Linked DNA regions of Ovis aries. The protein of the gene in region 1 purifies or fractionates together with the protein of each later gene. This does not show direct contact. Links are inferred from orthologs where the notes say so. Each region holds a gene or a part of one and is shown on either strand. Other genes may lie near its edges.

The links. Proteins that work in one complex are often made in the same cells at the same time.
Region 2: the proteins of CUL4A (region 1) and DET1 purify together in Homo sapiens (affinity purification with western blotting; 6 studies listed by BioGRID and IntAct, counting the BioPlex papers as one, with this or other methods). This does not show direct contact. The link is inferred for Ovis aries from reciprocal best matches to the Homo sapiens genes CUL4A and DET1.
Region 3: the proteins of CUL4A (region 1) and DCAF4 purify together in Homo sapiens (affinity purification with mass spectrometry; 8 studies listed by BioGRID and IntAct, counting the BioPlex papers as one, with this or other methods). This does not show direct contact. The link is inferred for Ovis aries from reciprocal best matches to the Homo sapiens genes CUL4A and DCAF4.

What each region holds. Positions count from the first base shown.
Region 1 is NC_056063.1:85,893,949-85,904,496, forward strand, and holds part of CUL4A (cullin-4A), read left to right. Parts: intron 1-431; coding exon 432-505; intron 506-1,430; coding exon 1,431-1,593; intron 1,594-1,817; coding exon 1,818-1,907; intron 1,908-2,860; coding exon 2,861-2,943; intron 2,944-4,513; coding exon 4,514-4,581; intron 4,582-4,979; coding exon 4,980-5,098; intron 5,099-6,554; coding exon 6,555-6,747; intron 6,748-7,913; coding exon 7,914-8,018; intron 8,019-8,218; coding exon 8,219-8,329; intron 8,330-8,403; coding exon 8,404-8,489; intron 8,490-9,040; coding exon 9,041-9,148; intron 9,149-10,477; coding exon 10,478-10,548. UniProt on the Homo sapiens protein: Core component of multiple cullin-RING-based E3 ubiquitin-protein ligase complexes which mediate the ubiquitination of target proteins. As a scaffold protein may contribute to catalysis through positioning of the substrate and the ubiquitin-conjugating enzyme.
Region 2 is NC_056071.1:18,918,110-18,928,657, reverse strand, and holds part of DET1 (DET1 homolog), read left to right. Parts: intron 1-4,117; 5' UTR 4,118-4,225; intron 4,226-4,333; 5' UTR 4,334-4,343; coding exon 4,344-5,426; intron 5,427-9,590; coding exon 9,591-9,778; intron 9,779-10,548. UniProt on the Homo sapiens protein: Component of the E3 ubiquitin ligase DCX DET1-COP1 complex, which is required for ubiquitination and subsequent degradation of target proteins. The complex is involved in JUN ubiquitination and degradation.
Region 3 is NC_056060.1:82,554,506-82,565,053, forward strand, and holds the end of DCAF4 (DDB1- and CUL4-associated factor 4), read left to right. Parts: intron 1-1,617; coding exon 1,618-1,697; intron 1,698-2,698; coding exon 2,699-2,797; intron 2,798-2,917; coding exon 2,918-3,015; intron 3,016-3,868; coding exon 3,869-4,042; intron 4,043-4,388; coding exon 4,389-4,503; intron 4,504-6,030; coding exon 6,031-6,224; 3' UTR 6,225-6,420; downstream 6,421-10,548. UniProt on the Homo sapiens protein: May function as a substrate receptor for CUL4-DDB1 E3 ubiquitin-protein ligase complex.

The sequences.
Region 1 (10,548 bases):
ACAGGCGAGTGTCCATCAGGAGGGTTCTGTGCTTGTGTGAGCAAAGCTCCTGGACAGTCTGGGGAGCTCCCTGAGAGGAGAGTCCTGGGCCCCCCCACCCCCGAGCCTGCAGAGCAGTTGAGGGCCGCGTGCCCACGTGCCAGGAAGGCGTGCTCAAGCCCAGGCTAAGGACATTGAGCCCGTCAGTGGGGAAGGAACTGAGGTCACGCGTGTCTCAGAGGCCGAGTGCTGTGAAGTCCTTCGTCAGATTTTCTGAATGAAGGAGGAAAAGCCAACACCAAGGGGAGCAAGTAGACTCGGGGCGTCGGTCCTGAGGGTTTTGGTGAGGCAGCCGTGTGAGATGTGAGACGCGGCCGCTCAGGGGAGGCAGCCGCGTGAGATGTGAGACGCTGGGGGGCCTGGGGTGGGCTGACCCGGCCCTCTGCCCCCAGATCATGATCCGGAGTATCTTCCTGTTCCTGGACCGCACGTACGTGCTGCAGAACTCCACGCTGCCCTCCATCTGGTGAGTGTCTGCGCTGCGGCTGCTGTGCGTGCCCGACCGTCTGTCTGTTCTGCGCACCCACCGGGCCCCTCGGTGGACCTCAGCCCGGGGCATCCATCTCTGAGGGGTGGCCGCCGAGGTGGTGGCTGGCAGTCCCGTGTGGTCTCCTGCGGGAGATGGGGTCCCGGGACGGGCCTGGCAGGCTCAGAGTCTCCACCCCTCACTCTGCTCTGAGGGTGCTGAGCGCCAGGGCCCAGCTTCCCCCTGCTCTGCATGCGGGGCCTTTGGGGGGCCGTGTGAGCCGGGACCCGGCGCCCCTGTCACCTGGGTCCCTGCTTGCTGCCTCCTGGCCGCAGCCCGAGCAACTCAGCCTGTGCAGAAGCCTGCCCCGGCTCACCCGCAGCCCTCCTGGCCTCCATCCACATGGACAGTCACTCCTAATTCGGGTGCTGTGCCCGGGACATGCGGCTTGTGGGCGGTGGAGGGCGGAGGGGATGAGGGTGTGTCCTGCTGGCTGAGTGGGAGCTGCTGGAGCCCGAGCTGAGAGCTCAGCTTCCAGAAGAGGGTGCCTGCAGCCACGGGTGAACTTCTTCCTGAATCCTCGGGCAACGGGCTAAGGATGGGTGGCGGGCTCTGGTTTGCATCCTCATTCTGCGGTCCTGTGGCGCAGACAGATGCAGCGGCTGGAGCACGGGCTCGGTTGGGGGCGGGGGACACCGAGGACAGGAGGCCCTGGGGCCCCCGGCAGGGTGGGGGGACCCACTGACTCACGCAGGAAACAGGCTGCCTGGATGAGGGAAGAGGCACAAGGCGTGCCAGACTGTCAGGAGGAAAATTAGAAAAAGGTCGACTTGTGCACTAGCAAGTTAGCAAGCAGGTGTGTCTGGAGCTTCACCCAAAATCTGTGACGGGTGAACCCGACGCGTCTCGTTTTTCTGCTGTGCAGGGACATGGGGCTAGAGCTGTTCAGAAACCACATCATCAGCGACAAAACGGTCCAGACGAAAACCATCGACGGCATCCTGCTGCTGATTGAGCGGGAGCGGAGCGGCGAGGCGGTGGACCGGAGCCTGCTGCGGAGCCTGCTGGGCATGCTGTCTGACCTCCAGGTGGGCCCGACCGCCCGAGGACAGGGTCAGACCTCGCTGGAGACCACACCGTTCAGGCGTTGGCTAAAAATGAGGGAGTGTTGTCCCTCTGCACTCGGGGCGAGAAGGGAGCTGCCCCCAAGCAGGGGCGTGGCAGTGCAGCCGGCCGCCCTCGCCGAGGGGTCAGCCTTCAGGATGAGCGGCTTCTTTGCTGTAATTGGCCAGTAACTCTGCTCATTTTTTAGGTATATAAAGACTCATTTGAACTGAAATTTTTGGAAGAAACGAATTGTTTATATGCTGCAGAAGGCCAAAGGTTAATGCAAGAAAGAGAGGTGAGTCGCCGAGAGGTTTCTGAAGTGCCTTACTTGGTTTTCATAGAAGTGTATCCAAGTGTGATTTCTAAGCATCTGTCTTTTCACACAGGCAGACATTCTCCTCAAAATCTTCTGAAAGCTACAATCTAGTTTCAGTTCTCAGTAATGAGATTCTTTCTTAGTATCTTGAGAGTTTAATTTCCCCCTATTTTAGAAACTTTTCCCCCCATTAAAAAAACCAGAAAAGCAGTTTCTGGTTTACATAAAGGAGCTCAAGCTGAAACAATATGATAAAAGATAATTTTGTGTGTGTGTGTGTGTGTGTGTTGGGGGGAGGGGTGCCTGTGCTGAGCCGTTTGTGGGATCTTAGTTCCCAGACCAGGGTTTGAACCGTGCCCCCTGCCATGGGAGCGTGGGGTCCTAACCACTGGGCTGCCAGGGAGTTCTCTAAAGATAACGCTTAAATATGAAAGATAGACCCGATATGCTAAACATTTTCACCTGTGTGAGACACTGAAAGAAAAGACCCTAAAAGCCATGGGGGAATGCCAGGTGACGGTAATCAAACCCCAAAACCTCTCTAGCTGGTTTCTCCAGCCTTAGAGCCCAGCCCAGAAGGAAGCCCTGGGGCCAGCATTGGAGGGCAGCCTGGGCACCACCCCGGGCCAGGGCCTCGGGCCCCGGCTGTGCAGGCAGGGGGCAGCACGGGCGCCCTTCACCCCCGGAAACTCGGAGTGTGGTTTGCGATCTCCTGCAGCCTCCTGGGGCCCCTGGGGGAAGCGTGTGACGGGTGCCCGCTGGCCGCACCGTGTGGACGGGGCGCCGCGCCCCTTCCCCGCTCCGTCAGCCGGTGCTCCGGTTTGGCTTGCGTGCAGTTCTGCTTTTTCTTCCACTAAAGCAGCGTTTGAACTTCTTGGGTCACGTGAAGAATGTGTTTTGTTGCTGAAGTGTTTCAATGTTCTTTCTGGAAGGTTCCAGAGTACCTTGACCACGTGAGTAAGCGCTTGGAGGAGGAGGCGGACCGCGTGATCACATACCTAGATCACAGTACACAGTGAGTGCCGCTCCGGGCTCCGTCTGGGGGCCTCCGGGGGACGATGTCCCCTCCACTCCCCGACGCACGGCGTCTCACAGACTCACTTGCTGCTCTCTGGCCCTGGACGTGGCTTTGGTCCTCGAGCAGTTTGCTTATCACTCGTGACTGTTCAGCAGTCGTGAGTCGCACTGACCGAGTGGCCTGTCTTGAGATCCTGTCCAAAGGAGTGATTTGAACAGATACTTGGTGTCTTTTTGCCATTTTTAATTTATGTTAGGAATCTGTCATTTATGAAACGTTGATGGGGCGTCACTGAACGTAGGCAGTTTTGCTGTGAACTTTGGCTGGAAGTCTGAGGTACCGATGTCGCCGGAACTATTTTGCTACTAATGCAAGCCCCATTATTTTCTCATTTCATCTGATTTTTTTCTCTGAATTGATGAGTATCTAGGGAGAAGTTCAAGGGAAAGTTTTTTGAGTGTCTGTGTCAGGCACGTAACGTTTATTCAAGTGAGGAAGGTCAGAGCAGCAACGTGGGAGATGGAAAAGAGATGTTTCTAAGAGGAAAAGTGCTCAACTGCGGGTTGTGGTGGCCTGGAGGGGGGAGGGGGGTAGAGGTGACAGGCAGGAACAGTGTGGCAGCCCGACAGGACACAGGGCTGGAGCAGAGGCAGGCTGCCCCAGACAAGGAGCTGGAGGCGCCGTGGGACCGCGGGGGCTGGGGTGCAGCGAGGCAGAGGACTGTGTGGTGGGACGCCCCAGCCAGCAGCCCCTGGTGCTAGGCCCGGCGGCTGCTCCTTCAGCCCTCATGCGGGTGCGGCATGCGAGCCCCACCGCACCCCGTCTCCGAGAAGTGACTGCAGGCTAAGCAGAGGGCTTGTGGAGAGGGGGGGCTCCCTGGGCTAGGGTTTTGAGGGGCGCTGAGGTGGCTTCTGCAGTGTCAGATGACTCAGAGGCCACAGGGCGAAAGGTGACTTTCAGAGAAAGCAGGTGCAGGAGGCCAGTAAATGAGTCCCGGGCTGCACGCCCCCTCCCCAGCTCTTGGCGCCTGGAGCCCAGGTGGCTGCCGGCCTCTGTCCGTGTGGGGCTGCCGTGCAGGCCACGTGAGGTGGTGCAGGGAGCAGTCCCTCGAGTGGGCCCGAGCTTAGCGACTCCTAGGAGTGCAGCAGGCCTCTGGTCTCCGAGGACAGGGCTCAGCGAGCAGGGGCCTGGGCCCCGGAAGGGCGCCGTGTCCCCTCGTGCAGGGGCAGCCCCACACGCCCGTCTCCAGGGCGTCTGGCTCTGTGCTGCGTGTGACACTCCCAGCCTCTGTGAGGAGTCGGGCTTTGATGTGTGATCCTGGGAGGACGCAGGTGGAAGAGCAGAGGGGCAGCTGGGGTGGCGGGGGGGGTCTGTGGGACCCAGTGGGGCGGGACTGGGGGCAGCGGTCCTGGAGGCCCGGGGACTGGAGCTCAGTGGGTTGGAGCGCGAGGGCCCCGTCCGCTGCCGCCCTTCTTGCTGGACTCGGTGGCCCGAGGCCGGGTGAGCGCTGGGTGGGCCCGTCCCTCCTGGTTGATGGGCTCCTTGTGCCCCGCCCCCCCCCCCCCAGGAAACCGCTGATCGCCTGTGTGGAGAAGCAGCTCTTGGGAGAGCATCTAACAGCAATTCTGCAGAAAGGTAGGCTTCCCGCCTCTCGTGCCTGCTCTGACCGCCTGTCCTGCATTCAGTGAGAGGGCTGGAGCAGCCGTGACAGCCTCAGTCACCATGATCGTCGCAGGTGGTGGCCCTCAGCCTGGGGGGGGCTGGGTTACCAGTTGTGTTGAGGGGGTGGGCAGGGAGCATGGAAGGTTCGGGCTAAAGTCACAGGAGTCCTGTCAGGGCTGAAAGACACCAGCCCCTGGCGGGCAGACAGCCTCGCTGTGCTCAGGCCTGGGCTGACCACCAGCGTGGACGCGTGGCGGCCAGCCGACTGGCCCCGAGGGCTGCCTCCTGCCTGCGCGGGGTCCCGGGGAGTGAGCAGACCTGGCCACCCCCGTCCACCTGCCGCCCGAGCTAGCACTGCCGTGTGATCTCAGGGCTGGACCACCTGCTGGACGAGAACCGCGTGCCGGACCTCACGCAGATGTACCAGCTGTTCAGCCGCGTGCGGGGCGGCCAGCAGGCGCTGCTGCGGCACTGGAGCGAGTACATCAAGGTGCGTGGGGCGCGGGGCGGGGCCCGGGGCGGGGCGGGGGGCCCGGGTCCCCAGAGCTGCCTCCCCTCCTGCAGGCTCAGGCGGGCCCGGCTGGACCTGCCTATCGCCTTCTGGGTCCGGTGAGCACACAGTCTTGGGGATAAATAGCATCCAGGTGTGAATGCTTTAAAAGCTGCTGTTTGGCCGTTTGTTGTCTGCATAAGTACTAGCGGAGACTAGCGGAGTTCTATAGCTATGATTTTCAAAAAGTTGCCTTTGGGAATCTACTGTTGAAACATGATTTCATGCTTGGCTCGGTGGGAACTTACACAGTTTGGTGTGTCTGGGTAGGGTGTATGCGGCTTTGTTTCCCGGAAACCCAGGATTTATTTGTGTTTCGGTTACAAAAAGGCAACAGGAGTGGTCTGTGTGGCGCTGGGCTTGGGTGCTGCGCCCCCGGCGAGGTGTAGGTGAGCGCGTGGCCCGTCTGGACGAGCAGGCGTGAGCTGCGTCAGGGCCGGGGTCCTGGTTGTGCTGCTGCTCGGCTGGGGCCCGTGTGTCAGCGCCGGGGACCAGGCTGGGCGCGCGAGGCACACGGTCACTCTTCTTGCTGCACGCGGGCCTGTAACCATCAGGAGGAAGATTCAGCTCAGTGAGAAAGATGACGGGAACAGTCAGGCCTGCGCGTGGAAGGCTCGTACACGCACACGCACCCCCAGGGTCTTGTGCCGCCGCATTGAGCCGAGAGGCATGCGCGACTCAGGCCTGGTCAGCACTGGGCTTTATGCCAGGAAAGGCCGTGGGGGTCGAGGGTTCTGCCGCCCAGGGTTCTGAAAGAACGGGCCCAGGTCCTGACACAGGAGGGCAGCTTTCCAGCGTCCAGCCTGGACAGGAGACGTTGGATTGTGAGCTTGTCCCGGGTGTCCACTGAGGATGAGCCGTGACGCTGCCCCCCACCCCTGCAGGCCGCGCCAGGCCCCTCTCCTGAAGCCTCTCGGCCGCTTCACCTGAGCCTTCCCGCCAGTGGTCTGCCCCCACGTGCACCTCTGACGTGGAGCTCCTCGTGTGTCGTGTGTAGTCAGATAGCCAACTGGTATTGTCATACAGACTTCTAGTCATGTTTAAATAGCATTTCTTAAATAAAAATGCAGGCTAAAAACCAGAGTCTAAACCACAGTTGAACGTGAAAGAGAAAGAACTATTGTTAGGAAGTCCAAATAGGTGTAGAAGGTTAAGAGGATTAATTTCTGTTTGAGGGATTTATAAGTAAAAGTTCTTCCAGAAGCAGAATTGTAACCCTACAGGTTAGTTGCGTGCCCACTCAGTTTTTAGAACGTGGACTAAATCTGTGAAGCTTCTGGAGGGACTCAGCACCTAGTACTGGGAGTGATTAAGCTGTTCAGCCATCACGGTCGCTTGGTAGCGGGAGAGGAACTGCGGCGTTGGAGCCCTGTGGCTGAGCTGGTGTGTTTTGCAGACTTTTGGGACAACGATCGTCATCAATCCAGAGAAAGACAAAGACATGGTTCAGGACCTGCTGGACTTCAAGGACCGAGTGGACCACGTGATCGACGTGTGCTTCCAGCGGAGCGAGAAGTTCATCAACCTGATGAAAGAGTCCTTCGAGACATTCATCAACAAGCGGCCCAACAAGCCCGCGGAGCTGATCGGTAGGGAGCAGGCTCGCGCACAGGCTTCCCCTGGAGCACGCGCCGCACGGGGAGGGTGGGCGGGCCTGAGAGGGCCGCCTTTCCGGAAGCCACAGACACCAGCGTGCGCTTCTGTGTGCTGAATCCATATGTGAGCACGTGATGTTTCCATTGGGAGCGTGTGGTGATGGTTTTGTGACAAGATGGAGCCTGACGTCTCAGGAGCAGGATGAGACCAGCAGATTTCTCCTCGCCTGCACGGCCCCGGCCCCAGAGCTCTTCCTGCCCAGAAGCTGGCCTGGGTTTGTCGTGTAGGAATGTTAGGAGGGTGACTGTTGGCCTCTCGACAGCGCCTGACAGGAGATGGCTGTTCAGGCTCGACCTTGTATCCCCCAGTCAGTGTTAAATGTGGTGCGATTGATTGGCACTCTTTCAAATGATCCCTTTGTATACTTATTTCCTGATAACATCAAAATATACCAGGATTCATGGAGTCTCATCAGTGAGGCAGTTTTTTTGGAATTGTCCAGAGGCAGTGGGCAGGGAGGTGTGAGGCCGTGGCATAGGGCTGAGCTCCGGTGTGGGCTGGTGAAGGCGCCTGGTGGGAAAGTGGAGGTTACAAGTGCGTACATTTGTGGCGCTCAGAATCAAGACAATGAGGGGAGGGGCTAAGACGAGCCAGCGGAAGGAGACGTTCAAATGCACCTGTTTGATTTGGCCTTTGTGCCACTTTATAGACTGTGGTTTCTCTAAAGACACATTCGGACTCTGGGGAGCTCGGGTTCTCCCTTCCTTTGGGCAGGTCGAGGCAGCCTGTGCGTCTCGAAAGCAGGAGGGCAGGCGGACCCACTCTGTGCCTGAGGGGTCAGCCCTGAGGGGAGTGCTCCCGCGTAAGGAAGCCTTGCCCGCACGTCTCCGCAAATCCTGCTGGCGGGCTGCTCCGGCTTCTGGAGCGGTCGTGTGCCAGGAAGCTCCAGTGTGGGACCGCGGGGTGTGTTCTCCGAGCCTGGAAAGCACAGATCTTAGAACATCAGGTGTTTGCCTTTTTGTTACAAAATAACATGTCAGTTTGGGAAGGTTCCAAGTGTTTTTTCTTGGAGAAATTAAAGACCTTCCTTTTTGTATTTAGAATATGTATCGTATTGTGGAGTGAATGCTTATTTTTCAAATGATATCCTCTCCTACAGCAAAGCACGTAGACTCAAAGCTCAGAGCAGGGAACAAGGAGGCGACAGACGAGGAGCTGGAGAGGATGCTGGACAAAGTCATGATCCTGTTCCGGTTCATCCACGGTGAGCTGGGCCCCCAGCGCGTCCGCGGCATGGGACCGCGGTGGCAGCCGCTGTGCGCGCAGCAAGGGGGTTTGTGGGGATTCAGCGGGAAGAGCTGGCTGGCACACGCGCGTGGTCGCCTCTTGGGCCGAGTCAGAAGCTGAGGTGAACATTTTGACGGCAACTGTTAAATGTCTCACATGGTTCTTGCTTATAAATAGGTAAAGACGTGTTTGAAGCTTTTTACAAAAAAGATCTAGCAAAAAGACTCCTGGTTGGAAAAAGTGCCTCCGTCGACGCTGAGAAATCCATGCTGTCGAAGCTGAAGCACGGTAAGCGCCGGGGGTGGGGGTGAGCGCCCCACTCAGGGCCTTCCTGATGCTCACCCGCCGTCCGCTTTGTGCAGAGTGCGGGGCCGCATTCACCAGCAAGCTGGAGGGCATGTTCAAGGACATGGAGCTCTCCAAGGACATCATGGTTCATTTCAAGCAGGCAAGTTGTGTTCAAGTGAAACAGCTCTTTTAAAAACACGCTATTTCAGATTCTGTGAAATGATTTTGCATGTAAGTATGTGACCTGTGTAAAATCCTCGTCTTTAAAAATCACGCTGTTGATGCTCCACGTACTCAGAACACTTCAAAATGAAAAAGAAACATAACCCCCCGGGATTCCCTGTTGGTGCAGTGGTTAGGACCCCAGGTTTCCACTACCGAGGGCCTAGATTCAGTCCTCAGTCTGGGAACTAGGGTTCTGCCGGTTGTGTGGCGCAGTTGGAAAACAAGAAAAGAAAACTAATTCCTAAAAGTGCACTTGGAACTCTGGCTTAAATGAGCTTAATGGCCCGTATCTGGGGCAGAAGTGAAGAGAGACGTTCCCAGTGGCGTTTGACCAGGGCGTGTGGCCTCAGTGGGCTATGTTCCAGGGGCTCGAACAAATGAAACGCAAGGTGAGCTGTAGCTGGGAAATGGGGTCATCGGTTTCTGGAGGTCAGTTCTGGGCGCTGCTCTAAAGTGGCCGTCTGTCCCGGCTTCCTGTCTGTGCAGTACATGCAGAACCAGAGTGACCCGGGCTCCATAGACCTGACCGTGAACATCCTGACCATGGGCTACTGGCCGACGTACACGCCCGTGGAGGTGCACCTGACTCCAGAGGTGAGCGCGCTCGGGAGCCAGACCCTGCTGCCACGCGCTCCTGCTCCAGGCCCCACGCACCGCAGGGAGCGTGGCAGCCACGCTCGCTGAGCCCTGACCATCCGCGTCTTCTCGGAGCAGCGTTCACAGCGGGCGCTCCTGGTCTGTCTCTGCCGGCTGCCTGTCACGGAGGCGCTGGTTTAAAAAGCTCCTGTGTGGGAGCCTCGAGCTTCCTTGGCTGGCTGATGCTCCCACCCGACATACCAGAGCCAGGGCCTGAGAGGGCAGGGACGGCGTTGTGTGGCTGAGACGGGCCCTGTGAGGGGGATGGGGTGTGCCTGCCGGCGTGGGCCCAGGGCCTCCGGGGCGACAGCTAGGCCCAGGGCCTGGCACCCGGGCAGATGTGCTGCTGCCCGGACCCACCCTTCCTGTTCGCAGGGCAGAGTCTCCTGGAGTCCCCCGTTTCTGGCCCCAGGCAGTCTCTGTCGCGTCCTCTCCTCCTTTTCCTCTTGCCTGTACCCCGAACGCACATGTTCCCTGGAAGCCCCAGCTCCGTCCCTCTCAGCCTCCAGCCTGTGTCTCCAATCCCCCCCACCCCGGGTCTGTCACGGCTGTCCCAGACTCAGCGCCCCTTCCCACATCTCCCCACGCGATGGGACGGCTCTGCACCCCTCCCCACACTCTGCCTGGCGCGCTCACGCTCCCAGGGCGGGTGTGACCGTGCAAGCTGACACTCTTTCCTGGAAAACCTCCACGCCCCGTCTGTGCCTGCTGGTTGACACTCGTCTCCCCCCTCCCCCTGGGGTGTGCGTGCACACGCGTGCCGGCGCTGCAGGACTGGCCGGGCGTGGAGGGATGGCAGGAACAGGCCAGAGTCCCAGGGCCTTCCCTGGGAGAGGAGGAGTGCAGCGAGGGTCGTCCCAGCTTGCGCAGCCGGGCAAGAGCACGGGCTCTGACCAGGCGGACCACCGGCGCTCCTGGGCTCAGAGGCTGCAGGGGGCCGAGGAAGCCTGCGGGGCTCGGGAGCGGGGGCAGCGAGGGTCGTCCCAGCTTGCGCAGCCGGGCAAGAGCACGGGCTCTGACCAGGCGGACCACCGGCGCTCCTGGGCTCAGAGGCTGCAGGGGGCCGAGGAAGCCTGCGGGGCTCGGGAGCGGGGGCAGGCCCCACCGCCCCTGGCAGGAGCTGTTGGAATGGTGGCAGCACGGGGCTGCGCGCTGGTGGGCCGCCGTCAGGACACGGAGCAGGCCGCATTCGGCCCAGCGGTGGCTTAGGAACTCGGACGCTGAGCCGCTGGCAGTGTCAGAGTGAGCGTGCGCAGCACAGTCACGCTCGCCCTCCTCCGCTGACAGATGATCAAGCTGCAGGAGGTGTTCAAGACGTTCTATCTGGGCAAGCACAGCGGCCGGAAGCTGCAGTGGCA
Region 2 (10,548 bases), on another chromosome or scaffold:
CATAGACGGCAGCCCACCAGGCTCCCGCCGTCCCTGGGATTCTCCAGGCAAGAACACTGGAGTGGGTTGCCATGTCCTTCTTCAGTGCATGAAAGTGAAAAGTGAAAGTGAAGGCACTCAGTTGTGTCTGACTCTTAGCGACCCCATGGACTGCAGCCTACCAGGCTCCTCTGTCCATGGGATTTTCCAGGCAAGAGCACTGGAGTGGGGTGCCATTGCCTTCTCCTAAGTTAGTCTGTCTGCTAGACGGTGTCAAATGCCTGTTCCTTCTTCCATTCATGGCCGTACTTGGCTCTCATTCCCTGCTGGTCTCCCTGTCTGATTCCAGCCCCCATCTTGGGTTTGAAGGATGCGAGTGGCAAAGATGTCCTGGACAGGGAGTGAGTGAGGTAGTTTTGTACATTACTTGGTATTTAAAACTGCTTAAACCTTACTAGTATTTTTTTTGGACTATATCAAAATGTGCACATGAACTGTGTCACTGTGAAAAGGAGCAGCTGTGTGAAACTCACTATTGTTTATTTTTGCTCAGAAGTGGAGGATATTTGTTGCTGAATCATGCCAAAATCCTTTTAGAAAACTCATGAGAGAGATTTTTTAAAAATTCAGTGCTGGGAATTTCTGAGCCTCTTCCAAGCAGCTATTAAGTTTTAATCTAATTGGCAGTGAAGAGTCTGTAACTGTGTTTTCCTGTGCCTCGTCTGCTGAGAAAGTCAGAGCCACCTTGGCAGTTCCACAGTTTCTCATGGTATGCATTTTTGTGTACTTCAGACTTCTTTTTATTGTCCTTTGTTTACCCTTCACAGTGATTGTTTTCTAATTAAGAAAAATTCTGAGTAAGCACAAATATTACTTAAAAAATATGTAATTTTAAAAGAACAACAGTACAATGAATGCTAATTCAAGGAAAAAAAAAATACACTTCAGAATGCCACCAGGGTGTCCCTAACTCCCATCCCGTTTCCTAAACTTCCTCAGAGGCACCACTTTTGAATCTCAGGTTTGTAATCCTTTACTGTTTCTAATTATATGCCATATGTGTTTGTGTCCTTAAACTAGAAATGGTTTGAAACTTATATAAAGGGAATCACACTGTATGTATTCTGTAACTTGCTTCTTTCACTCAACGCTGTGTCTGAGATTCATCTGTGTTGTTATGTATGACTGTAGTGCATGAATTCATCGCTTGCGTGGGGGAATTGCCGGGCAGTCCAGTGGTTCGAACTTGGTGCTTTCACTGCTGGGGCCTGTGTTCAATCCCTGGTCAGGGAACTAAGATCCCACAAGTCTCATGGTGCAGCCAAAACTAAATAAGAAAAAGATTCCCCTGCATGAATGTGCCTGGATGAATTTAGCTAGATTACTGTTTTTTGTTTGTTTGTTTGTTTAGCTAGTCTACTATTGATGGACATTTGGAGTATTGTCAAGATTTTGTTGTTGCCAGCAGTCCTGCTGTGGACATCTTTGTATGTGTTTCCTGTTATATACATGCAGACATTTCTCTAGGTCAGGATTTTAAGCTCGTGGGCTGTGTGGTCTTTGGTCTTAACAAATCAACTACGCCATTGTAAAGCAAAAGCAGCCATAGGCGACATGTGAGTAAGTGGGTATGACTGTGCTTCAGTAAAAATTTATAAAAATAAACAGGCAGGCTAGATTTGGCCTGAGAGCAGTGGTTTGCAGTCTTTTGCTCTAGTCTAAATCAGTAGGAAATACATTAATGAATTGTGACGAGTAGTTTGAGAAACTTGATTTGTTTAGTCATACAAGTATGCACATTTTTAACTTGACTAACTCAGCTGCTAAAGAATCCGCTTGCAGTGCAGGAGACCCTGGCTCAATTCCTGGGTTGGGAAGATCCCCTGGAGAAGGGATAGGATACCCACTCCAGTATTCTTGGGCTTCCCTGGTGGCTCAGTGGTAAAGAATCTGCCTGGCAATACAGGAGACATGGGTTCGATCCCTGGGTCGGGAAGATCCCCTGGAGGTGGGCATGGCAGCCCACTCCATTATTCTTGCCTGGAGAATACCCACAGTTAGAGGAGCCTAGCGGGCTGCAGTCCATGGGCACAAAGGGTCGGATATGACTGAGCAACTAAGCACAGCACAGATAGTATATATACTTACACCAGGCATTTCTAATTTCAGGAGACAGAATGTAAACAAATTCCCATTGTCTGTATGTTTTTATTTCTAAGATACAGGTTGGATCAGTCACTCCTCTGCTTAAAACCTGTAATAACTTGCATGACATGGCACGCAAAGTATTTTCTAATCTGGCTCCAATCTACTTTTTTAGGTTTCTCTTATCACTTTGTTTCCTGTGTTCTAACCACTTGGAATTGTGTTTCCCAAGTGTACCACACTACACTCTTTTTAAGTGTATTTTCTTAAGCTACTTTCTTTCTGAAATGTTCCTCCTTTATTTTACCTAATGTGTTGTTTATCCTGGACGACCTTTGTCAAATGTTGTTCCATTCATTCATTTCTGTTTGTGAGCACTTGCTGTGCTTCAGGCGCTGTCCTAGGTGCTGGAGATTCAGCAAGGAATTAGACAAGGCCCCTGCTTGCTGTCCAGTGTGGGGAGACAGATACTAAAACAGTAAACAGATGGTTTCAGAAAGTGATAAGTGCTGAAGAAGATAAAATAAGGTAAAACAGCAGATTGATGTGGATGGAAAAAGGCATGACTTTAGGTAAGGTAGTCAGAGAAAAACTGAAGAGTTGCTATTTAGCTGCGATTTGAATGATCAAACCGACAGTTGGTTCAGCCCTTTAAAAATGTTGCTTTGCTTCTTTCTGGCCTCCATAGTTCCTCATGAGACATCCACAGGTATATGAATTGTTGTTCCCGTGTGGCTAATGTATCATTTAAGTGGTTGCTTTCAAGGTTTTTACTTCATGTTGTAGGTTTTCACAGTTTGACTATGATATGTCTGGGCGTGGATTTCTTTGGGTTTATCATGTTTGGCGTTCTCGAATTTCTAATCTTGGGTTTATGTGTGTATGTGTGTGTTAGTCGTTGAGTCGTGTTGACTGTGACCTCATGGTTTGGGGCCAGCCAGACTCCTCCGTCCATGGGATTTTCCAGGCAAGAATACTGGAGTGGATTGCCATTCCCTTCTCCAAGGGATCTTCCCAAGCCGGTATCAGACCTGGGTCTCCTGCACTGCAGGCAGACCCTTTGCTGTCTGAGCCACCAGGAAAGACTTGGGTTTATGCGTGGGAGGGTTTATTTCTCAGGTCTTAATTCTCTTCATTTGGTATATTTTTCTATCTTATGTCATGCCACACTTCTTTGAAATCAGTAAGTCTGAGTCTTCTAACTTTGTTCTTTTACAAAATTGTGTTTTAGGGTCCCTTGAGGTTACATGTACATTTTAGGATGAATTTTTCTATTTTTGCCAGAAATGATTTTAGAATTTTGATAAGAATTGCATTAAGTTTGTAGATTCTTTGGGTAGTACGGACATCTTAACAGCCCAATGAATGTGTTTTCTATATGAATTACAGAGTGAATATGGTGTTTACACTGAGAAAATTTGATGTAGTTGAAGGTTTGTTCTTTTGAATATTCCCAACAGCTGAGCATGCTTTGAAAGTCTTCCTAGAGAATTCGGTCCTTCCCTCAAAAATTGAGTTTTGATAGACTTAAAGCTATCTGGACCACTTACTAACTGTAACTTGGGAAGGAGAAATGCCAATTACCATCATGTTGGGAGCTCCTCCACCCAGGGTATATGGAGGAAATGTATTTGACTTGTGTATACACAGTTACTCCTCGAACAACACAGATTTTAACTATGCAGGTCCACTTACACATGGATTATTTTTTAAGCCATTCATAATTTTTATTTTATTCTTAGTGGAGGATGATTGTTTTACAATGTTGTGTTGGTTTCTGCCATACAACAGCGGGAATCAGCCCTATTTATATATTGCCTTCCTCTTGAGCCTCTCTCCCACCCCCACCCCACCCCTCTAGGTCATCACAGAGCGCCAGGCAGGACTCCCTGTGTTGGACAGCAGCCTCCCACTAGCTGTTTTACACAACATGCTACTTTCTCAGTTCATCCCTCCCTCTCCTTCCCCTGTACACGTGCATTTTTTCCAACAGTAAATACTGCAGTTCTGCACGTCGCTTGAATCCACGGGTGTGGAAGATCTGTGGACAGGAAGGAACCACATATCCTGAGCCAACTACAAGTTATACTCAAATTTTCAGGTGCAGAGGGTTGGTGCTCCTCACCCCCGCCTTGTGCAAAGGTCATCTGTATTTATGTTTTGGTAAATTTTTGTTTTCTTGACTTCTCTTTTTTACTTTCCCATGCAGAGATGTGATAATGGATCATCATGTTTCCACCATCAAACCTCGAAGAATCCAAAACCAAAATGTCATTCACCGCCTGGAGCGCCGGCGGATCAGCTCGGGCAAGGCAGGCACCCACTGGCACCAGGTCCGGGTCTTCCACCAGAACGTCTTCCCCAACTTCACCGTCGTCAATGTGGAGAAGCCACCTTGCTTCTTGCGAAAGTTCTCCCCCGACGGACGCTACTTCATCGCTTTCTCTTCCGACCAGACCTCTCTGGAAATCTACGAGTACCAGGGCTGCCAGGCCGCCGAGGACCTCCTGCAGGGCTACGAGGGGGAGATTCTGGCCAACGGCAACGACCAGCGGTCCGTCAACATCCGCGGCCGGCTCTTCGAGCGCTTCTTTGTCCTGCTGCACATCACCAGCGTCGCGGCCAACGGCGAGCACCTGAACCGGGAGTGCAGCCTCTTCACGGACGACTGCCGCTGCGTCATCGTGGGCTCCGCCGCCTACCTGCCGGACGAGCCGCACCCCCCCTTCTACGAGGTGTATCGCAACAGCGAGTCCGTGACCCCCAACCCCCGGTCCCCCCTGGAGGACTACTCCCTCCACATCGTTGACCTCCACACCGGCCGCCTGTGTGACACGCGCACCTTCAAGTGTGACAAGGTGGTCCTGTCGCACAACCAGGGGCTGTACCTGTATAAGAACATCCTGGCCATCCTGTCGGTGCAGCAGCAGACCATCCACGTCTTCCAGGTGACCCCCGAGGGCACCTTCATCGACGTGAGGACCATCGGCCGCTTCTGCTACGAGGACGACCTGCTCACCGTGTCGGCCATGTTCCCCGAGGTGCAGCGGGACAGCCAGACAGGCATGGCCAACCCGTTCAGGGACCCCTTCATCAACTCCCTGAAACACCGGCTGCTGGTGTACCTGTGGCGCCGGGCAGAGCAGGACGGAAGCGCCGTGGCCAAGAGGCGCTTCTTTCAGTATTTTGACCAGCTGCGGCAGCTGCGCATGTGGAAGATGCAGCTTCTGGATGAGAACCACCTGTTCATCAAGTACACCAGCGAGGACGTGGTGACTCTGCGGGTCACAGACCCGTCGCAGGTAGGAGCTGCCGCCCCGCCTGTCGCCCTCCCGCCACCTCGCGGGAGGCTTCTTCTGCCTGTTCCCAGCCTCTCGGAAGCAACACCTTTTATGTGGATCTTGAATTTTTGCTCCCCTAGGGCCGAACTTAGAACAGCTCCACTTATCTCTGGCCATATGTATTTGTTTGGACAAATGGAAGCTAAATCTCAAGCCATTGACATATAGGTAGTCAACCCTGTGAATATTGTCCTATTTCTCTTTTTTTTAATATATATATTTTTGCAACTTTACTCTTTTGGGGGCTGCGCTGGGTCTTTGCTGCAGCAAGCAGGGCCATCCTGCTTGCCCTGCAGCATGTGGGATCTTCATTCCCTGACCAAGGACCAAATCTATGTCCCTTGCATTGGAAGGCAGTTTCTTAACCACTGGATCACCAGGGAGGTTCCCTACCCTAATTCTTCTGTAGAGCATTTTCAGTACCCTGGAGATGGAAGCCCAGATGCTCTAAGGTTAAGATTTGACTCCCTGTGGATAGTGCCTTGGTTTTGTGGAAGATTGTACTTATTGGTCTGTTTTAGTTCTGGCAATGAGAATGAACCCATCATACAAAAAAGGAAAATCTTCCAAAAGTCTAGTCTTTTTTCTTGTTTAAATGATGTCAGTATACTTTCTCACAATATCTTTAGATTGTAACTAGTCTTTTTCTTACTGAAATGAACTCAGTATACTTCCTCACAAAATCTTTAGATTGTAACCAATGGGACAGTTCATTTAATAGAGTTAAGCTCTATGACTTTACTCTGACCTTGCCCACATGCTGGAACATAGACTGTGGAGCAGTGATAAGATGGGAAGGAAGTAAAAGTTTTTGATCTACCAGTGAATCACCAGGACTGCAGGTTCTGAGGGTTTTTTAGTTTGGGTGAAAGATGTTGATGGGGAAGACGCATTTCACAAATAGGAATAAGGTGTTGGGTTAAGAGTATAGAAACCGTGAAGATGGTTGGGTTGAAACACCATGCTGAACCTCAGGGTGATGTGGACATTTACCTTTGAGGAGCTGTCTACTTTATTGTTGACCAAGAGAGACCTAACTTCTTTACAGTTCAGTTCAGTTACTCAGTCATGTCTGACTCTTTGCAACCCCGTGGACTGCAGCATGCCAGACTTCCCTGTCCATCACTAACTCCCGGAGCTTGCTCAAACTCATGTCCATCAAGTTGGTGGTGCCATCCAACCATCTCACCCTCTGTCGACACTTTCTCCTCTTGCCTTCAATCTTTCCCAGCAACAGGGTCTTTTCCAATGAGTCAGTTTTTCACATCAGGTGGCCAGAGTATTGAAGCTTCAGCGTCAGTCCTTCCAGTGAATACTCAGGACTGATTTCATTTAGGATTGACTGGTTTGATCTCCTTGCAGTCCAAGGGACTTTCAAGAGCCTTCTCCAGCACCACAGTTCAAAAGCATCAGTTTTTCAGTGATCAGTTTTCTTTATGGTCCAACTCTCACAACCATACATGACTACGGGAAAAACCATAGCTTTGACTAAATGGACCTTTGTCAGTGAAGTCATGTCTCTGTTTTTTAATATGCTGTCTAAGTTTGTCATAGCTTTTCTTCCAAAGATCAAGTATCTTTTAATTTCATGGCTGCAGTCACCATCTGCAGTGATTTTGGAGCCCAATAAAATAAAGTCTCTCAGTGTTTCCACTGTTTGCCATGAAGTGATGGGACTGGATGCCATGATCTTCGTTTTCTGAAGTTTGAGTTTTAAGCCAGCTTTTTCACTCTCCTCTTTCACTTTCATCAAGAGGCTCTTTGCTTTCTGCCTTAAGGGTGATGTCATCTACATATCTGAGGTTATTGATTTTTCTCCCTGCAATCTTGATTCAAACTTGTGCTTCGTCCAGTCTGGCATTTCACATGTTGTACTCTGCGTATAAGAGCAAGGTGGCAATATACAGCCTTTACGTATTCCTTTCCCAGTTTGGAACCAACACCCCACCCCCCATCATTCTCCTATTTCCACATTGTCTCCTTATATACGAGTTTGGAAGTGTACAACAGAACAAACCAGTAAACTGCCGTCAGCTGAGTCTGGTTTCTCTCATTGACTTGTAGCTGATTCTGCCCTTAAGAGAAACTACAGAAAATTTTCTCCTGAGACCTTACCAACCATCAGTGGAAAAATGGTTTCTAATATTTTTCTTCTGAATCATACCTTGTGTATTCTAAAAAAAAAAACAACAAAAACAAGGGTAGGGGAGGGGAGGTGACTAAAATGGTGGTGGTTTAGTTACTAAGTCATGTCCCACTCTTTGCAACCCTATGGACTGTAGCCTGCCAGGCTCCTTTGTCCATGGGATTTCCCAGGCAAGAATACCAGAGTGAGTTGTTATTTTCTTCTCCAAGAGATCTTCCTGGCCCAGTGATCCAACCTGCATATCCTCCATTGGAAAGCAGATTCTTTCCAGTGACATCAGGGAAGCCCATTGAGATCTGAGTAATAAATTCGTTAGAGATTTTTTTTTTCTGAATTTTTTTACTTCCTTATTAATGATGAAGTCACCATTGAGGGTGAGCGTCCAGTTCATCTCAGGCGTCATGAGAGGGTGTTGGTAGAGCCTTTGACTTCTGTACCCTTCTGTCGTGTATTTCCCAGTGTGCCCTGGTGGGAATGTTAGTAAATATTTGTGTAATTCTGTGTTCACACAGTCACGATGGATCCTGGTGAAGCCCTCATGTGATCCAAGTGTCGTCCAGGTTTATAGAAATGACATGAGTCCATCTTGTATTTAGGTTTGAGCTATAATTACCTTTTTGTTTTGGAGGGAGTATATTGTCTGTGACTGCCGCATTCGAGATTATCCTTTTCTCCTTCACTAAAACGTGACCTCCTTATGTCCGGTAGCTACAGTAAGTCATAGCCAGCAACATTGCTAGGGCTCTGTGCTTTGCTTACAGAATTTGTAACTTTAAACCCAAACTCTCCCCTCGTTTTCCTCCAGTCTCCTTCCCCAGTTTAATTTGATAGGTTCCAATAAGGTTAATGAGTAAAAAGTGTACCTCAACACAAAGCCTTGCTAATATTATGGGTATTATTCTCAGATTACCCTCCAGCCTCTTTAATTTACAGCTAAATTTAATTTCCAGGTGACCGCAAAAGTCATGTAATATAAGCTCTGGGAAGGACTAATTACTGGTGAAACAGGTGGGCCAGATGTCTCCAAAAATTGGTAATGAAGATTCAGGTTTAATCCTAGGAGGCAGAATACTAATCCTAGCGTTCTGGAAACTTCTAGAGTCCTGGTGGAAGACCCACACTGCCACATTCACTGTGACAAAAACTTGGGGTACCTCGTGCTTCCGTGTTAAGCTGAGCAGAACACTGGAGGTTCAGAGAAGAGGAGCAGGCACCTAGGGACCCATTCAGAGAAAGCAGTAACTCTGCCACCCAGAGCATCTGAATGCTTTTCATGTTTCCCCCTCTGATCTGTATTGCTACAAATGTCCAACATGTGTTACAAACGCTCTTGGCTAAAAGAACATTTATGAAGAAAGAAATGAAAACGCTTCTCTGACTTTTTCATTTGTCCAGCAGCAGTCCCCCGCTTGGTTACAACTTGCCCAGGTGGACATGGTGTGCTTAAGACGTCTCTCTGCATGTTAGAAATACTAAGAAAGAAAAGGAAGTGCCCCCAAATTGAACTTTCTGCTATACACATACAAGAGAAAATAATTTGCCAACAGGCAGCTCCTGACTGCAAATCACTTTCTCAGCAGGAAGGAAAATTAAATCTGGCATTTTAGAAAAGTGTTTTTAATCTCAGAATGGGTTGGGGCATAAGTAGGGAATAAGCACTTGAAAGGAAACATATTAAATTTGCACACAGTTTGAAATGAAAGATTGAAAGCCCTTTTATACATATATGCTGAACAACTCAGTAATTCCAGCAGCACAGGTACAGTGGGGAATCAGGCAGCTCTGAGGCCCTTGATGGCTCAATCCCACTGAGGCTTCCTCCTCTTCCAGAACCTCTAGGCATCATGTTGCTGCTGTAGTGCCAGAGTGGAGGTGTTTGCTTGTTTTACTTGGGGAGTTTGAGTTTTCAGCCGAATGGTGAATATGCTAGGTAAGGTCTTATGCTCAGCTGTCCCTTGGGTCTCTCTCTCCTTCTGCAGGCATCTTTCTTTGTGGTGTACAACATGGTAACAACAGAGGTGATTGCTGTGTTTGAGAACACGTCAGATGAGCTTTTGGAGCTCTTTGAGAACTTCTGTGATCTCTTCCGGAATGCTACCCTGCATAGTGAAGTCCAGTTTCCCTGCTCAGCTTCCAGCAACAATTTTGCACGGCAGATCCAGCGCCGGTAAGCTGCTCCCCTGGACTTAACAAGCTTAATTTTTCTCTAGAAAATGTGTTGGTGTGGAGCCAGTAGTTGTTTACTTCGGGAAACCTTCCCATGTTCTTTCTGCCCACCCGGCCTTGGGTCGGTCTGCCTGTTGTAACCTCCTGTGTCATCCTAAATGTCTCTCTCTTAGCACCCGAGCGATTACTTGTGTGTTGTCTGCGATTCCTCCTAGACTGTCTGTTACCTGCAGAGAGATAGAGACTGTGTCTTTGTTTAGTTTATTGCTGTATCTGCAGTGATTCACTGTCAAGCACTTAAAATAATTTTTGAATGAATCAGTGCAGTTGGGTTCAGTCGTTCAATTGTGTCCGACTCTTTGCAACCCCATGGACTGCAGCGGCCCTGTCCATCACCAACTTTGAATGAATAAGGAAGTAATTTTATAACTTTTGGTTAAACATGTGCATTGAACACATGCATTTATCTCTGCTGTATCCCAAGACCCTACTTAAAGTGACAGTAAAGGATGAAGAGATGTAAACCTACAAGAGCAAAGAGAGTGAGGAGGAGATATCAATAGAGTTTTAGAAGCTGAAGAGCCAGTGGATGGCTGATAACTAACTTGACATACCTCAAAGAACAAAAGAAGACTACAGAGCTTGCCCATCAAGAAGTAAACTGTCTTGCACCAGAGAACTCTGGAAAAAGTCAAGAAACTGGAGGTCCTGTATACCTCTGGAGGATTGGATGACATTCTTTTTTATTTTTGCTGTGCTTTGAAGCTTGTG
Region 3 (10,548 bases), on another chromosome or scaffold:
TGCTTGCACAGATGTACGTTTTTCAATGAAGTGTGTATATTCATCCCATCATTTATTGAGCATCTGCAATCCCTGTGGAAGGCTGGAACTGGGCACCTCAACAGGTGATCGAGTCTGCATTGATGGCCGTGGGGCAGTTGTAGAGTACAGGAATTGGGTGGACCTTCTGGAGGTGACTCCCACATGGGAAGGAGGGGACAGAGTGCCCATTAGAAGGAAGAGTGAGAAGCGAGCTTGGCACATTGGGCAGCAGTAAGTGGCTTGGTAGCCATGATGTTTTTGGCTAGGTAGGACCTTGCCAAACCAAATCCTCAGGGCTGTGGGATGCCCCTTGAGAACGGTGGTCATGGATTCACTTCTTGTGGCAGTGAGGGTGGCTGACTGGTGAGGATGAGACATTGGATGGAAGGCTGCTGCAGGACCAAGAGTAGTGGAGAGTGAACTGATGAACAGGAGTGGAGGAGAGACAAGTTTAAGAGGCTTTAGAGCCTAGGCTGGGGTGTCTTAGTGATAGAAGGTCCAAGGATGGAACGCCGGGGGAGTGCTTATGGAGCCAAGGAGTGTCGTTAGAAACTGTGCTGCGTGGCTCAGGGCAGGACTGGAAGGCATTCATCGGGTTTAGGTATTAAGAGCTCACTGGAGACCTTGGTGGAGAACATTTCACTGAAAAGGTGAAGGTCTGACCTGGATTTCAGTGGGTTGAAGAGTAAAAAGGCGAGGAAGTAGGGAATAAACACAGGTTCCTGTTGAAACTCTGAAGGGAAAGGAACCAAATCAGAAGACGGTCCAGCAGAAAAGCAGGCAAAGGATGTAAAGTGGCAGCTCAGAGAACGGGAAACCTGATGACTATCAGCTGTAGTCAGAGATGCAAATTAAAAGATAATTTATACCCACTCAGATAAACGCAGTTTTTAAGGTCTGATAGTGCCAAGTTTTGGTGTAGGAGGAGAATGGGGGAAACTGCTAGAAGATGCCAGTTTCCTATTTAGTAAGGGTGAATGTATTACGGAACTCCTGTTTTAAATGTTTGTGTATGTATCACACGCTAGTGTAAAGTGAAGCCCTTATCACAGGTGTGAGAAACTTTTAAGAGAAGCATCCCATACATGGGAGTGGAAGACAGAGGAAAAAAGGATGCGGGTTGGGGGCAAAACCCACTTCATTGCCCAGCAGCAGGATCCCAGATAAATAAATTGTGGTCTGTTCATACAAAGGAGTGCTCTATGGTGCAGGTGGTTGAACCAGAGCTGCAAACACAACCGCAATTACATCTCAGAGACAATGTACATTGAACAGTTGTAGAAGATTGTGTGTGATGCCGTCTACATGTATTTTAAAATCAAATGCTTCTTTACATTGCTTATGGACAAATACTGTGTAGTATAAATGCTAAGGCCTAGAACTCAGACTTGTTTTAGAGTAGCAATTCTCTCTGTGTGGGGGAAGTTAAAAAGGGGCCTTTAAGTGTATCTGTGACATTTTTTTCCTTTTAAAATATCCAAACTAAATATGGAAAATGTGAGCCTGTTAAATGTGGATGATTTTTTTGAAGAGTGCTGATGCCCGTTCTCCTCCTGGAGGAGACTCGTTCTTGACTGTCCTTAACAGCTTTTCCAGGCTGTGCCTTATGGGAATTGCAGAGACTCCGGGCTGTGCCACCCTGCTCCCCACGTCGCTGTTTGTCAGTAATCATGCAGGTACTGATGGATAAGGAGGTGCTGGGGGACATCTTTGTCCTCTGCCTCCCAGGAGCTGCAGCCAGCAGCAGCATAAGCTCTGTGGTGATGGCTTGGACAAGATGGGTGGGGACCACAGGCTAGTGAGTCTTAAGTGGGAGCTTGCAGGGTGGGGACGGTCTGCAGAGCACCTGGGAGGATTCCTTAAACTCCACCCAGGATTTGTACTGGAAGCATGTACATCTTCACTTATCCCCTCCTTTTAGGTCTTTTCAGCAGCCAGAACAGTTAAAAGCATGTATAACCAACATAGGAGATGAAAATATTTATTTAGGTTGCCTATATACAGATGACCAAGAGAGCATCTGTTAAGCTCCTACTGTATGGAAGGTGCTGTGAGGGATACTTAGATTCTGTATGGCTGAAGGCAGCCTGATGGCCTGGCAGCATTCTGGATATGAAGTTTTCAGTTTCAGAGAATTAGGATCAGAGACAAGGATCAGGCCTCTCAGGTAGACCTGGCATGAATCCCAGCTCTGCCCCTAACCATCTTGAAGAGATTGCTTAACCTCTGGAAAGTAAATATCTGCCCCCTCGGGTTACATGGAAGATTAAGTGATTTAATGCACACTTAGCCTTGTGCCTAGCATTTCATCATACAGCCAGTTTGTGAAGCAGGAGGATGTAGTATCACCATTTTACAGATGAGGAAACTGAGGCAAAAAGAGGTTCAGAATTTGCCTTACAAAACCAAGAGAGGCTCTTAGAAGTCAGGATAGTGGTTTCCTTTAGGGAGGAGTGAGGAGGGTAGTAATTGGGAAGAAACATGAAGGGTATCAGTGTACTAGAATGTTCTATCAACCTGGGTGGCGGTTATATAGCTCTACTTACTTTGAGAAAACTCATTAAGGGATATAGTATGGTTTGTGCCCTTAATGTATGTTTTATCAATTTTAAAAATGAACAGAAGGTTTGCTTAAGATTGCACAGCTAGACTTGAAACACTGCTGCTGTTCCCTCAGCAGGAGACCGGCCTGGCATGCTCTGCAGTTTCCGGATCCCCGGGGCCTGGTCCTGTGCGTGGTCCCTGAACATCCAGGCAAACAACTGCTTTAGTACAGGTGAGCCACCCAGCTGCCCAGGGTGAGGGAGGACCCAGACCCGAAATGCCGGCCCACAGTTCCCTCTCCCTGGACCGAGAGGGACGTTGTCCGCCATGTCTCCATCTCCGTCTCTGTCAGGCTTGTCTCGGCGAGTCCTGGTGACCAGCGTGGTGACGGGACACCGGCAGTCGTTTGGAACCAGCAGCGACGTCTTGACCCAGCAGTTTGCCGTCACGGTTGGTTGCACTGGGGACGGCCTAACTCAGAGTTTCCCAAAAGGGGACCTTGTGCTGGGTTGGAATAGGATTCCCTTGTGTGCAATCTAGTCCTCCTCTCATTTGCAGGGAAAAAGAGGGCATCCAAAGTGATTCATGGGTGAATAAGTCAGTGCTGGATGAGATTTGGCCGATCTAGAAAGGCCTGGCTCAGCTGGCTTTCAGCAGCTTCCTAAAGTTTCAATGAAGTGTTAGTTCTTGAGTACTTAGATTAGCCAGCAAGACCATAAAAAAATTTTAATGTATAAATTATGTCCCAGTTAGTAACAGTTTTATATGCAGTTGTCAAGCTACCCATGAAATTTAAAAATCAAAATTCTGGTCCTTACTACATTTCAAAGACTTGACCTGTAGAAAATGCCACCTTTCTTTCAAAGCGTGGAAGAGATATGCCGACCTGCTTTTGGCAATAAGCACAGAACTCCTCATTCCGGTTTCTTCAGCCATCTTCCCATGCTATTTGGGACCCGTGTCTTCCCTCGATTTCTAGTCTGTTTTACTCCACTCTCATCACCTACTTCCTAACTCACAACCTGGGCGGGAACGGGACACCCTCACTTCACGGGAGGGGAGGGGTTCAGGGTGAGGCCTTAGGGGCCCGTCGCAGCCAGCGGGGAGGACACTGGAGGGACACATGGTGTCCAGTTCTTGACCTTTGATAAGAAGCCCTTCCGTCTCCACTGAAGCTCGAACCCTAACCAGGCTGCCTCTACCTATCCCTCTGATCCAGAGAAGGGAGGCAGGGGGCTGTGTTCTGGGGGACTCAGCCTTCGCAGCCGTGGAGGGAGGTACCAAGCAGTCCTTCTCTCCACAGGCTCCTTTGCTATTTAACGGCTGTCGTTCTGGCGAAATCTTTGCCATTGATCTACGTTGTCAAAATCAGGGCAAGGGCTGGAAGGCCACCCGCCTGTTCCATGACTCTGCAGTGACCTCTGTGCAGATCCTCCAAGAAGAACAGTGCCTGATGGCATCTGACATGGCCGGAACGGTATGGGTACCACTGACTCTGCAGCTGCGGGAGCCGCTCTGGGCCAGGGGAGGGGCTTGGCAGGAGAGACTCCTGTGTCGGACCGTGGCAGGGGAGAGGCATGGAGACCAAGTGAGGTGCCAGGTGTGCAGGGCAGCTGCTTTGCCACCCACTCGGAGCCCCGTCTGGTCTAAAGGGATGGGTCACTGGTCCTGGTGCCTCTGATGGGTTCTCAGACTCAGACCAGGCATTTTCTCACTTGAGGTGGTCTTTGGAGACCACCTCGTCCCCGCTGGCTTTCACGCCTGGGGCTCACCAGGACCTGCTCATGGACCCTTCCTGACAGCCTCTGTGCTTCTTCCCACAGATCAAGCTGTGGGACCTGAGGACCACCAAGTGCATCAGGCAGTATGCAGGGCACGTGAACGAGTATGCCCACCTGCCCCTGCATGTGCACGAAGAGGAAGGAATCCTGGTGGCAGGTAGCTGGGGATGAGGCGCTCCGTCCCACTGACCCTGACCCTGAGGACCCCCAGCAGCTGAAGCAGAGAAGACATGACTCTGTGACAAGCTGAATAAAGGGGGTTTGGACAGTTGGGTCTGGGAGTCAAGATGGGGTGCAAAGTTGGCCATCAGTGAGCAACAGTTTAACCCCCAGCATGTGGATAGCCCTTTGTCTCCACGTCCCTGGGCAGACATCACTTCAGTTACAGGCCAGTGAGGAGCAATAAAACGCAGCAACGTAGGAGACCTGGGTGTGCGGGTTAAGTCTGCTCACCAGGTCCACATTCAGGGCGGCCGTCCTGTCGAAAAGCTTGAGCTCCCTGTTCTTTGTACTCACGTTTCTACCAGAGGATGCTGAGAAAAGAGATGAAGGTCATTGTAAAGGAACCAATGCCCGGTCCCTTTACCACCACCGCTGTGATCCCATGATGTGTAGAACAGAAGCAGAGCTTTCGAGCACCAAACCCCCTTGAAAGGAGTTACAAGTTGATCACAGATTATATTATATAATTATTTGGCAGTTTCACAAGGCAGTAGGCCCTTGGCATTAAGAGGTATGTTCTCAGTCTTCACAGATCTCAAATTTTCTAATATTCCTACAGAAAGTACTTCTCTGCTGTGAAATTTTTTGTGGCTGAGAAGCATCACTTCGCTAGAACTCAGAATTTTTTACGACTCTTACCACACCACCAGCAGTTAGCTTCCTTAAGTCTGTCTTCCACAAGTTTTCACCACAGAAGAGTTTCTGTGTTCTGGACGATAGAAAAGATATGAGCCTTGCTGAGAAGCAGGTGTAGGGAGTGGGCTGGCTGCAGTAATCCTTGAACTGCACAGCCCGAACTGACCCACCCCTAAGGTCAGAGAGTCAGCTCGGATGCTCAGAAGCACACACTGAAATCCGTGACGCCTAAGGTCTGCCCTTTTCCCCCACTAGCATATATTGGCTGTCGGAGCTGCTGTAATCAGTGGTGTCTGGTGTCTCTTTCCTCTGACCTATGAACACTGAAGACTGTAAAGTCTTATGAACTGAATCATTAAAGCAGAAAATGTTTTGGAGGGAGTTATCACCCAATTTGCCCGGGGATGTAATGAAATTAAAGAGATCGTCCTGGTTACTGTCTCATAAAAAGGAAATGAGCTGCATGCCATCTAGAACAGGTGGGCTGAGCTCCCTCTTGAACAGCCCTTGTCACCAAGAGAAACAGAATGGGCCACCCAATAGCCAAGATGCCCCATGAACCACCCAGGGTGTCACAGCCAGCCTTTGTGTCTTGTCCCTTTGAACACCAGCGACTCGTGATCCTGGAGCACCAGGGCAACCTGTAACTTTCATTTTCAAAAGGGACATCTTATCTGTAGAGACAGTTTCCGTTGTGAGTTTGCTTGGCTCACGTGGAATCACCTTTAGCCCTTAGGAATCGTGGAAGCTGGGGCCACAGTTCCCGCCCCCCGCCCTGGTCCTGTGCTTTCTCACTAACCTGCCGCACGTCTTCCTTCTTTCTTAGTGGGCCAGGACTGCTACACGAGAATCTGGAGCCTCCACGATGGCCAACTACTCAGAACCATACCCTCCCCATACCCCACCTCCAAGGCCGACATTCCCAGCGTGGCCTTCTCTTCTCGGCTTGGGGGCTCCCAGGGAGCGCCAGGGCTGCTCATGGCCGTCCGGCAGGACCTTTACTGCTTCTCCTACAGCTAACTCTGCGGGGTGCGGCCTGGAGGGATGTGAATGTTACTCAAGGGAGCTACGGTAGCTGTATTTTTGCCACAATTGCTGTTTCCAGTGAGGGCATTTTAAGTGGGTCGTCTGTGTGCACATGTACCATCCATCCAGCTGCGGAGGAAGAGGTGCTGTGTTTTATGTGGAGATACTTCAGTAAAGTGATTTCGATTAAGTTGTGAGCCTTGAAAGTCCTTTTCATAAAAGGTGCCTATTTCTTGCTGAATTCCTTAGGATCTCCGCCCCCCTCTTTTTTTAACAAAAAATAATTTTCTAAAGGCTGAAGATAGACAGTAACTAAAGCTGCTTTTTTCGCCAAAAACCCTTTCAAGAAGCCTGATGAGACTGTTAGTAGTCAGTGCCTGGGTCCCAGAAAGACATCCTTGAGAAAGCCAGGTGGAGAAGAAGGGGAAGCCATTTCTCTGAGTCTCTAGAAGATTTTTAAGGCTGAGTTGGTCATCATTAAATTAGCCTTCTCAAACTCACTCAACACCAGTGTCAGATCTCTGGGATTCTTATTTATTACCATTCTTTGGCTTTCAAAGGAAAGATGGATCCTTTCAGATGCTAGGCAGGCCTTAGCGTGCATTTCTTGAAGCACCTTCCAGAATGTTAGATACAGCAGCAGCTCCTGTATTTATCGTGGTGACTTGAACATCCATTCAAGGACCCCAATTCAAAGAAAACGGGCTTTGCCTTTTTGTAATCAAAGAGAAGCGGTCTGTGAGATGTTTATACAGAGTATTAATATATAAAGAGCCTGTCTTTCTACCAAATAAACCACAACATGGTGTGTTGCTTCTGTTCACGATTTAGAACCTCGTGATGCTTGGCTGCTGTAGCGTCAAACCAGCTACGGCAACACCTGCTCAGATCTTGGGGGAGGGAACAAAGGGTGGAGCCTGAGGCCAGCTTTCCTGGCTTTGCTGCAAAGCTTTCAGCAGGGTCCCTGGTCTGGGTTGGGTTCAGCCAATCGAACCTAACAGCAGGAAAGCAGAGGGCAGGAGCTTGAGGGGAGAGTGTTAGTTTCTGGCTCCCCTCCTGTTGGGGTTTGGAGGGCTGTGGCTGTTTCCCTCCACCCCAGGTTACAGCTTCTGCTGGAACACAGCTCTCTGGATTCCAGGAACTTCTCTCCATTTGTCCCTTCAGACCTGCAGCTGGTAATTGCATCTCTCTGTTGCTAGTCCAATGTGCTTTACCAGTTAAAACACTCTAGAGTTACCCCCTTGAGTGTTACACATCTGTGTCCTGCCAGAACCCTCCTACAACTTAATGTACAGAGAAATCCAAAACTCGTATCAGAAAGGTCATCCAATAGATGAGCTGTATGTTATAATAAATGTTTTCAGAGCTTTAGGTTTTCTAAATGACTTTCCCCTATCTTAACCTGACTTGACCCTTAAAACAACCCATAAAGGAGGTAGGGCAGTAGTAATAATATAAAAGTTATCAGCATCCTTTTCTGGGCAGAGAAACTGACTACAGATCACAGACCTGGGAAGCAAGAGACCTGGACCTTGGCACCAGAAGAGGCCTTGTCCTCTACTTTCCACACTCCTCCAGGTGCTGACAGTACTTGGGTATCACACTGCTAGTGCTAAGGAGAAATCACAAAGCGGCTTGTGGCAATGCTAGCATTTCATATTTAATCACCAAGTAAATAAATTTTTCTGGCTCTGGCACTCAAAGGCTAAGAAGCTTGCCAATTACCAGAATTCTTAGGTGTTCAATCATTTAGACATTGCCCCTGTATCTCTGCAGCCCTGGTATGCTGACCTGCATGAGGAACCAGGAAATAGCCTTAGGATTGAAAGGTCCAGCTGACCAATCAATCAGCAGAATTTTTTGGATTGATTTTGGTGACATGCCCCAACCCGAAGAGCACAGACAAGCATAGGTGCTAAGATATGACCCTAATATCACTCGTACTTTCACCCCCCAGAAGTTCTAAGTTCTCACAAGTTTGTTGATAACATGATCTGCCTTCTCTGGAGAGTATCTTTGGTATTGCACCTCTAGTGCAGGGCTTTTGCCACAATTCTGTACTGCAGAGAAGCTGTGGCTACTGGGTCCACTTCTGAACAGTACACTGTCTCAGAGACAGGAGACAACGGACTACTCAAGTACCTGATCAGCTCTGAGATACAGCCAGTGGTTATACCTGCAATGCAAGAGACCCAGGAGATGGAGGTTCAATCTCCGGGCCACGAAGATCTCCTGGAGGAGGAAACGGCAACCCACTCCAATATTCCTGCCTGGAAAATCCCATGGACAGAGAGAGGAGCATGGTGGGCTGCAGTCCATGGAGTTGCAAAGAGTTGGACATGACTGAGCACATCACATTCCCAAACACCTTCCTAAGTCCTTGTCAACTGTGTCGTAGCCCAAGTTTCTTACTAGGCAAATACAGTTGTCAAAGAATTAGCTGTATGTTTGCCTTAGGCTTAAAAAAAAAAAAAAAAAAGGTGAGGACATAGTCAAAACTTCTTAATTTAGCAATCTGTTCTTATGTTTGGTTAGTGGTCACTGCTCCTAACATTTGGTCTAGATGATATGAAAAGTTAAACCTCACTGTGAAGTTGATAAAGCATTTTGGCACACTGGCTTGTTAAGTGTCCCAAAGACTTGAGTCCGTCATACGCTCGAGATATTTTTCACTTGCAGGCCTGTTAGGGTATTTTGCCCTGATCCTCCGGGTGACAATGAAAGGTCTAGAATGAACAAAGGGTGGCATCAGCACCAGTGTCCAATAAATCCTTTGCTGTTTGCTTGCTCGTGGCCTTCTTAACAGATGAGAACAGTAGCACAGACTGGTCACCAGAATTGCCCACAGATCAACACTCGGTGCCCCCAACAAGGTCACCACCCACTTACCTCTTACCTGTGAGCCCTCACTCTGTGCTGGTCTAAATGTTCCACGTAACCATCTCTGTAAACACCTGCAGGCTAAATTCCTCCATTCATGTTATGATGGTAGAATCCTCTGGGCCCACTCCTTGAAGTCTGCCTCTCCAGGCCACTGCCACGAGAAGGACGTTCCCCAAAGATCCCTGCACTCAATGGCTTCTTGTGTCTCGGGATAAAACGTGGCCTCGAGATGTGAACACACACGCCTTACCCTGTTGCCCCTTCTCTTGGGACATGTTTCACCCTCACCTGGGCATCTGTGCAAGCTGTCCTCCACTCCATTTCATCTGTAATCATCTAACTGTTGAGTCTGAGCTTCACAGAAACCTCCAGGGTGGTTAGTTTCCCCAGCACTTACCACATCTAGACACTGAGTGTTTTGCCACCATTATTCCCTTTTAATTCTTAGGACCCTATGAAGCAGGTGAAGATCACACCAATATACTGAGGGAAAAAAAACTGAAAAGAAAGCAGTTTGCCTAAGGTCTGCTAATGAGTGAGAGAGCTAACAAGTTCTCCTCAAGAAATCTATTCGAGACAGAATGGACTTTTTACTTTTGCCCTGGAAGTGTAAGATCTCCTTAAACCTAATTTTCCTGCAGGTGACTTCTGGACCCATCTCCCTGCTTGCTCCTACCACCCACCCACCTGCACTCTTGGCCTCATCTGAATTTAAGCAGCTGCCACAAAACCAAGATGAACACTGGGTGTGTAGGACAAAAAAAAAAAAAGAGAGAACTTTAGGTTATTTTGATACCGGGTTACCTTCTTCTCTCCTGGTCTGACTAGTATAAGAAAGTGAGTTCGGAAGACTTTTCTGTATCTTTCCTGTGTAGTCCAGCAGACACTATGCTCAGGGGTGGCCCCACACGACAGGCCAGGAGAACAGTTGTTCAACAGGAGCTAAACAGACAGAGCAAGGCAGGGGAGAGGATCGACACCAAAGGGCAGATAGAAAAGGAGAAGAGTCTCTTCCCAGTGTTTCCATAGGTCACTAGAAACACCTAATCTCTTCTGGGAGAGAGCATTCCCAGGGAATAAACTGAGATATTTACAAGTAAAATTCACCTCTCACTTGGCTTTTGCTCTGAAAAGCTACCAGCTTTCATCAACTAGGGGACATCCCTGGCGGTTAAGGCAGTAAAGCGTCTGCCTACAATGCGGGAGACCACGTTCAATCCCTGGGTTGGGAAGATCTCCTGGAGAAGGAAATGGCCACCCACTCCAGTATTCTTGTCTGGAAAATCCCAGGGATGGTGGAACCTGGTAGGCTCCAGTCCATGGGGTCACAAAGAGTCAGACACGACTGAGCGACTTCACTTTCTTTCATTTTTCATCAACTAGAAAGAGGTAGCAAGATGATACTGATGAACTTAAAGGAAAGAGGCCACAGTCC